Ovis aries: one gene and its partner. The protein of the gene in region 2 purifies or fractionates together with the protein of the main gene of each other region. This does not show direct contact. Links are inferred from orthologs where the notes say so. Each region holds a gene or a part of one and is shown on either strand. Other genes may lie near its edges.

Evidence for each region. The genes of interacting proteins can lie anywhere in the genome.
Region 1: the proteins of NIPSNAP2 (region 2) and HADHA purify together in Homo sapiens (affinity purification with mass spectrometry; 3 studies listed by BioGRID and IntAct, with this or other methods). This does not show direct contact. The link is inferred for Ovis aries from reciprocal best matches to the Homo sapiens genes NIPSNAP2 and HADHA.

What each region holds. Positions count from the first base shown.
Region 1 is NC_056056.1:33,460,664-33,464,661, reverse strand, and holds the start of HADHA (trifunctional enzyme subunit alpha, mitochondrial), read left to right. Parts: upstream 1-1,198; 5' UTR 1,199-1,233; coding exon 1,234-1,300; intron 1,301-3,998. UniProt on the Homo sapiens protein: Mitochondrial trifunctional enzyme catalyzes the last three of the four reactions of the mitochondrial beta-oxidation pathway.
Region 2 is NC_056077.1:28,171,912-28,175,411, reverse strand, and holds part of NIPSNAP2 (protein NipSnap homolog 2), read right to left. Parts: intron 572-3,500; coding exon 432-571; intron 350-431; coding exon 304-349; intron 1-303. UniProt on the Homo sapiens protein: Protein involved in mitophagy by facilitating recruitment of the autophagy machinery required for clearance of damaged mitochondria.

The DNA of each region.
Region 1 (3,998 bases), on a different chromosome or scaffold from region 2:
AGTGGCACAAATTTATGCCCGAATCTGGCTCTGCCACCTAGCAAATAATTTATATAAATCTCCATGCCCCCCAAATTTTACCTATAAAACGTAAGTAACAATTTGGGAATCGTGAGGATTAAATGAGATGGCGGTGAAACGACCTAGAGGGTCCTCAACATCAGTTTTTGGAATCAATTAATTTATTCCAGGGCTCAAGCGTCTCTCTCCAGCACAAAAACTGCTATTATGCAGTGCAGAGCTCTTGACTAGAAGTTAGTAGACACAGGCTACCACCTGTGGCCATGGGTAAACTGACTCTGATTCTTGGGCTTCACCGATGCAGTGAAGGAGATGAAAGACCAGATGATCTTCGGTTCCCTTCTGGATTAGAAAATGATCTTGAGCCTTGGCTGTCGGAGCCAGACACAGGAAAAAAAGTCACACAACCGTGATCCACCCTCGGAAGAATAAAAGGGGTAAACTCCTGGCCCTGTTCCGATTCTCAATAGCCGCCGACCTGCCTACAGGCAAAATAGGGGATACAACACCACTGGAACACAAGACAGCGCTGTAAACCGACACACACAAGTTCGTTAACTTGCGGTGATAAATTAAAAGGCATAGGCGACATCGTTGCTCGGAGCTATAGTCAGAACGCTAGGCCAAATTACTGCCCAAACTGCACTGGTACCGGAGACCCGGATTGAGAAACTTCCTTCCGCTCCCTAGAACTCCAGGGAGTGGAGACCAGGCGGCCGCGGGCACAGGCGTAGCAGGCGGGAAACTGCGGACCCCGCCGGAGAAAGGGCAGGCGGTAGCCGAGCGCACGCCCCTTCTCACCTTAGGTCTCGTCGGCTGAGTCTCCAGCTGCAGGCAAGGTTCCGGCCCGAATGACAGTACCCGACGGGTACCAAGAGGCGGGGCCTCCCTGGAAAAGACCCCTCGCGGGCCTCACAGGCCTCCCTGCCTGCCCGCCGGCTGCCTGACTGGAAAATACGGAAGGCTGTCCTCTCTGCGCTTTCTTCCTTCCCTGCGGAGGAAGTGTCCTTTTTTTTCGGCTAACGGGGCGTTAGCCGGAGGCGAAGGGCAAGGTTAAGGAGCCGGCGGCACTCGTCATCGGGGTTTCAGTCGCGGGTTTTCAGTCAGGCAGTACGTCGGCCGCCTGGCCAGTGCTAGGCTGCGAGAAGAAAAGTCCTCTACTCGGCTGCCCGCATTTGAAGGGCTTTCCACTTTCGTCCGCTCCCACTCAAGATGGTGGCCTCTCGAGCAATTGGCAGCCTCAGCCGCTTTACTGCCTCCAGGACGCTCCGCTGCTCAGGTGAGGCCTGGTTGAAGGCACCCCACCGCCCTGGGCCAGAGCTCCTGCGGAGACCCGGGAGCCGCGTCTCCCCGTGGCTGCCGCCTCCCTGCCGCGGCCCTGGATGAGGGGGAGTGATGCTGCTATGAGACCCGGTCTCATTCCCTGGCGCAGCGACTGACATTTTCTCTCTCGTTTTGAGTCCTGCAGCGATTTCAGGCTTCGTAACCCCTAACGTCTGTGAGTCTTGTCCACCCGGTCTGGCATTTTCCGTAGGTCTCCTCTTACTTTCTTTAATGATGGCCTTGAACCTGTCCCTACTGGAGGACTAAGAGGACAAGGACAGTCCAATCTGTCACATCTTTGTGCTTCACTGCACCTTGACTGTAACGGGGAGCATCTTATTTACTTCTTGTATGAAATTAACCAGCCTTGCGGATGGCTGCCATTCCCTACGCCTTTCCCTCACAACCTTTTTACCTATTACCACACTAGATGGAGGAACCTGGTAGGCTGCAGTCCATGGGGTCACTAGGAGTCGGACACGACTGAGCGACTTCACTTTCACTTTTCACTTTCCTGCATTGGAGAAGGAAATGGCAACCCACTCCAGTATTCTTGCCTGGAGAATCCCGGGGATAGGGGAGCCTGGTGGACTGCCATCTATGAGGTCGCACAGAGTCGGACACGACTGAAGTGACTTAGCAGTAGCACACTTCAACAGGAAGCTCAACTCTTGCAGCTCCAGTAATTCCAGTGTGAATGTATAATATGTAGAATTTCAAGAGGCAGATTCTGCAACTTTCCAGAAGAAGGACTTAAAAAAAATGCAGATACCTTGTATCTTAAGGAACAAGATGTTAGATAATTTTACCAACTATTTCTACCCTTGTTTCTGACTATACCCAGTTAGCTTGCATTAGCTGTATTGTCTTTTTCTCTTCAAACTGGCAGTGAAACAGTTAAAGTGGGTGCTTGTGGAAAATTAAGCATTTTCCTTCTCTCTCAAATCTGTAAGGTGAAATGTGACTTTTTATCGCATGTTGTACTTAATATCGGTTACTTAACTAGAAATATAATTTATAAAATGCCTTCCTCCTTCTGAATCACTGTATGTTGTTTTTAGAGGCATGCCTTTACTGTAAGGAACTAATTTTGAATGTTTGAACCTTTTCTGCTTTGTTATTTCGACCAGTGTTTTTAGTCTCCACGGGACTGCTCTGTATGTGTGTGCATACCTGTCATAACACTACAGAAAATTGAAATGTTGCAAAGACTGGGGGAAAGGATTAAGCAAAAAATAATCACCCTTTCTCTTACTGCTCACATACCTACTGTTAGTATTTGGTCATGGAGTTTGATTGTTTGATTGTTTTCCACATTTTTGGTTTAACACTTTAAAATTATCAGATGTATATTTTTGAACTTCTCTTTCATTGATTTTAAGGTAATGCAATTAAAATCATTAGTTTTGGAATGTGACTTCTCAGTTTCAATCTGGCTCTGCCTTTTACCCACTGGTGACCTTACCCTTTGGTGACCTTGGGCAAGTCATTTCTATGTCTGTTTTCTCATTTGTGAAATGGGGAATAATACCACCTTGTGAGCTTTAAAGGGCGTATTTTAGGTGTAAAGCAGTTTTTCATGGAGTAAGTGCTATTATTATTAATAAATATTAGCTATTAACTCTTCCCTGCCCTGAAGAACTATGATTTTATATATCTGAGATTTTTTTAAGTAATTTTTACATTTTACATGTGTGATAGTTACAAGCTTAGTTTTTCCGTATTTTTTGTATAGAAATATAGATACACATGTGTATCTATATTTTGCATTCTGTTTTAACCTATAAGAAAATATGGCTGAGGGGAGAGATAAATTGGGGGATTGGTACTGACATACACATGCTACTATATGTAAAACAGATAACTAATAAGAACCTGCTATAAAGCTCAGGGAACTCAGTACTCTGTAGTGACCTATATGGAAATAGAATCTAAAACAGAGTGGATACATGTATGTGTATAACTGATTTACTTTGTTGTACAGCAAAAACTAAGATAATATTGTGTTGATAAATCAACTATACTCTAATAAAAATTAATTTAAATTTTCTTAAAGAAAATATGACTTATTAGTTATTGCCACTCCAGTACTCTTGCCTGGAAAATCCCATGGACAGAGGAGCCTGGTAGGCTGCAGTCCATGGGGTCACACAGTCTGACATGACTGAAGCAACTTAGCAGCAGCAGCAGCCCCTTTTAGTAACAATGTATAAATTTTGAAAAAAAAAAAAAAGGCCTAGAAAGTGAATTTAAAATTACCTGCACCCCTGGATTGCCATTTAGACTGAAAAGACTAACACTAATTAAAAGTCTGTGCCTAGGTAGTGCCAGACTTTTAATGAGACTATGATATTTAATGGTGGATGATTAAAATTCTTCACAGTGATTTGTACTTCTTGAAGTTTTAACCCATTCCTGCATGAGTGCTATAATTCTGAGTATGACTATCAAATGAAGATCACATCTTGATCAAGATATCTTAATTCCCACTTTTATTTTCTGCCCCCCACTCTATTCTAAATCTGAATTCCTAATTACATAAGTAGTAGAATAATTTCTCAGGTAATGAATTGAAGGCAGATATCTTAGCAGATGGTGTATATTTAAATTTGACTCTTACTTACATAATCCTGTCCCTTCACCAGGACCAGATA
Region 2 (3,500 bases):
AGGGCTCCAGAAAGGACTCAAGCACTGGATGAGTAGCTGGACTGGACAGACTGGCAAGGCTCCTTCCAACCTGAAAGGCTGGTAACATTCCAAAGTCTGACAGTCTATGCAGACTTCGGTGAATAAGTGCTTAAAATCAGAATGCCCCTGGTAACCCCACACAGAGCTCAACTTAAGAGCCTCTCAATGTTCGGCTTTAAGAAGAGTCATGAAAGATCTCGTTCTGCTATCAAGGGTTAGCGCAACCAACAAATATTAAAATCATTACTTTTCCCCAAGTAAAGGATAGTTTGGTATACACACCAAATTTTGTTGTATGCTTCTAGGCATTCCGGTTTAACATTGTGAACTGAAACAAAAGAAAATTCAACGATAAACTTATGAACCAAGGGAAAAACGTTAACTATGAAGATAGCAAACCTAGGACTCACACTGTAATTTGTACAGACTGCTGGTTTCCTTTTTGGCTAGGAGGTTAGAGTGAGCATCTTTCCTTGGGTCAACTTTCCGGACAAACAAGGATTTTAACCAGCTGTCCTCTCGAGGTCTGTTATCGGAAGATGTCAATTTCCTACGGGATCACAAATGCAAAAATTTTAGTTTAATCAGAGGTACAAAGATGTCAGGGTCTTTGGGTGGTAGCGCGTGGCCCACTGTTTTCATAAACTCATCAATCCGTTCAGCAAACACTCCTTGGGCACACATTCGAAGCACTATTCTAGAACTTGAGATGTCATGTGTCCACTTTCCAAGCCAACAGTGTGCACTCTGAACGTAGGAGCGAAGTGTGAGAGAAGGAGCTTCGGCAACCTTCGGAGAGTCCTCACGTGCATCTCCGTGAGTCCTGCTGCGTTCTTCCCGTCTCCGAGGAAAAATTTCAACATAGGAGAAACATACACGGAAACCGAGAAGAGTCAAATTCACAGAGAAAGAAAGTACGCCAGTACGTTCCAGGGGCAGAGAAGAGAATGGGGAGATATTATTGATGGGTGAGGAAGATGACAAGGTTCTGCAGGTACACAGTGGGGATGATTATACAACAATGTGAATATACTTCATGCCCCTGAACTGTACTCTTAAAAATGGCAAATGTTTTATGCACTTTACCACAATAAAAAATGTAAAAAGGAATATATGGAGAAAGTGACATGAATTCCTTCCTTAAAAAATTATTTTACCCCTAGAGTCAAGATTTTTAACTCACAAAAACCTAAGAATATAAACCTCATTAACATTTAAATGACCTGCTAATTCTCATCTTGTAACTGAACTTCTACTGTACACACTGTGAGAGCGATGATAAATCTGACTGAACTAACAAGCAACACTTTACCAGTACAATTTTAGCTGAGTGTTTAACTCCCATATGCTTGCTAGTGGGATCACAAATTTGTGTGACTTCCCTAGAGGGCAGTGTGGCATTTATCCACAGCAAAATGCAAACTGCGTAGGCCTTTTGACCTAAGGGCTGCACTTGTAGTTATGTCCGAAGGGCAGCTATATTTAGACGAGTGCACACAGTTGAATGCAGGAGAGCATTCCTTATTGCCTTCCAGTTTGTTCCTGGTAACGGCAATCTGGACTCCATTAATGGGGACTGGGCAGATAAAACAAGGCAGATCCAAAATCAGGACAGAATGCAGTCATTAAAAAGAGGGAGTAGACCTACACGCACTGACATGTTGGTATCTGAGATGAGTTCCTTGAGAAAGCAGGCCCAGAACAGTGCCATAAATACACGCACAAAGTGAAATGCTAACAGTGAGGACATCCGGGCTATGTGACTGGGCTTGGGGTGTGAGGAGTGAGTTTTCCTTTTCACTGTATAACCTTCTGCACTCTGAATTTTCCATATACATATATTATTTTTATACTTAACATTAGCTAAAATACCTAAAAGTGCACGTTTAAAAACTCCTTTATGGGTAAGCTAGATAGCTATATATAACCTGAGAAAAGATTTTAAAAATTAAAGCCTGGTAGGGACTTCCCTTGTGGTCCAGTGGTTAAGACTCTGTTGCACCTCAAATGCAGGGGCTGCAGGTTCAATCCCTGGTCAGGGAACTAAGACCCCACATGTTGCATGGCATGACAAAAAAAAAAAAAAAGAATGAATGAATTACAATTCACACACCACATAGATGATTCTCACAAACATTGAGTGGAAGAGCCAGACACATAAGTTCAAAACCAGACAAAATTAACCTCAGGTGTTAGAAGTCAGGGCAGTGTTACCCTTGACGGAGCTCACTGAAAGGGACACAAGAACGGCTCTGAGGGCTTGTAATGTCCTGTATCTTGATGTGGGTGCTGCTTACACAGTTGTATTTATATTGGAAAAATTCATCAAGCTATAAATCTAGAATTTGTGTACTTTCTAAAATGTATGCTATACTTCAGTAACAATTTTTAAGTTAAAAGGGCTGCTGGGGCTGCTAAGTCACTTCAGTCGTGTCCAACTCTGTGCGACCCCATAGACGGCAGCCCATCACGATCCCCTGTCCCTCGGATTCTCCAGGCAAGAACACTGGAGTTAAAAGGGCAAATATTTTAAGTAAAATAATGCATGTAGGATCTTAGTTCCCTCACCAGGAATTGAACCCGTGCCCCCTGCGCTGGGAGGGGAAGTCTCAACCACTGAGCCAGGGAAGTAGCTCTCTCGTTTATTTTTAAGTACACGTTTAACCCCAAGTAAACACACTTAAAACATGTAGGACAGCACCTGATTAATGGTGAGAGATTTAAAAATTATTTTTAAAACGACTTTAAAAAACTAAAAAAAAAAGTTATATATAAAAACTATTAGATCTTTGAAAGTCGCTCAGTCGTGTGACTCCTTGCAACCCCATGGGCTCCAGCTCGTGGAATTCTCCAGGCCAGAACAGTGCAGTGGGTAGCCTTTCCCTTCTCCAGAGGATCTTTCTAACCCAGGCATCAAACCCAGGTCTCCCGCATTGCGGGTGGATTCTTTACCAGCTGAGCCACAACGGAAGCCCAAGAATACTGGAGTGGGTAGCCTATCCCTTCTCCAGCAGATCTTCCCGACCTAGGAATTGAACCCGGGTCTCCAGCACTGCGGATTCTCAACCAACTGAGCTATCAGGGAAGCCCTTAAGTATTAGCCCTTCAGCAAAAATCAAAATCATACGGTATTCATCTCTGTTTTCAATTCACTCTTTAATTATATAAACTAATTCTGAAGATGGCAATTCTCCTAATGAATCATGGTAAAATTCATTTCAATAAAAATAAAAACATTTTGTCAATTTGTTTCAAGTATTTTCCTTTTTTTTTGGCCCTACCCCATGGCTTGTGGGATCTTAGTTCCCCGACCAGGGACTGAGGCCAGGTCCTCTGCAGTGATAGCGCCAAGTCCTAACCACTATTCTACCAGAGAAGTCCAGTGTTTAAAGTATTTTAAACACACCACATTTTTGGATACTGGGTTAAATAATATCACGAGGCAAAATGGCAAGCATATAAAATTAGTGATATGCAAA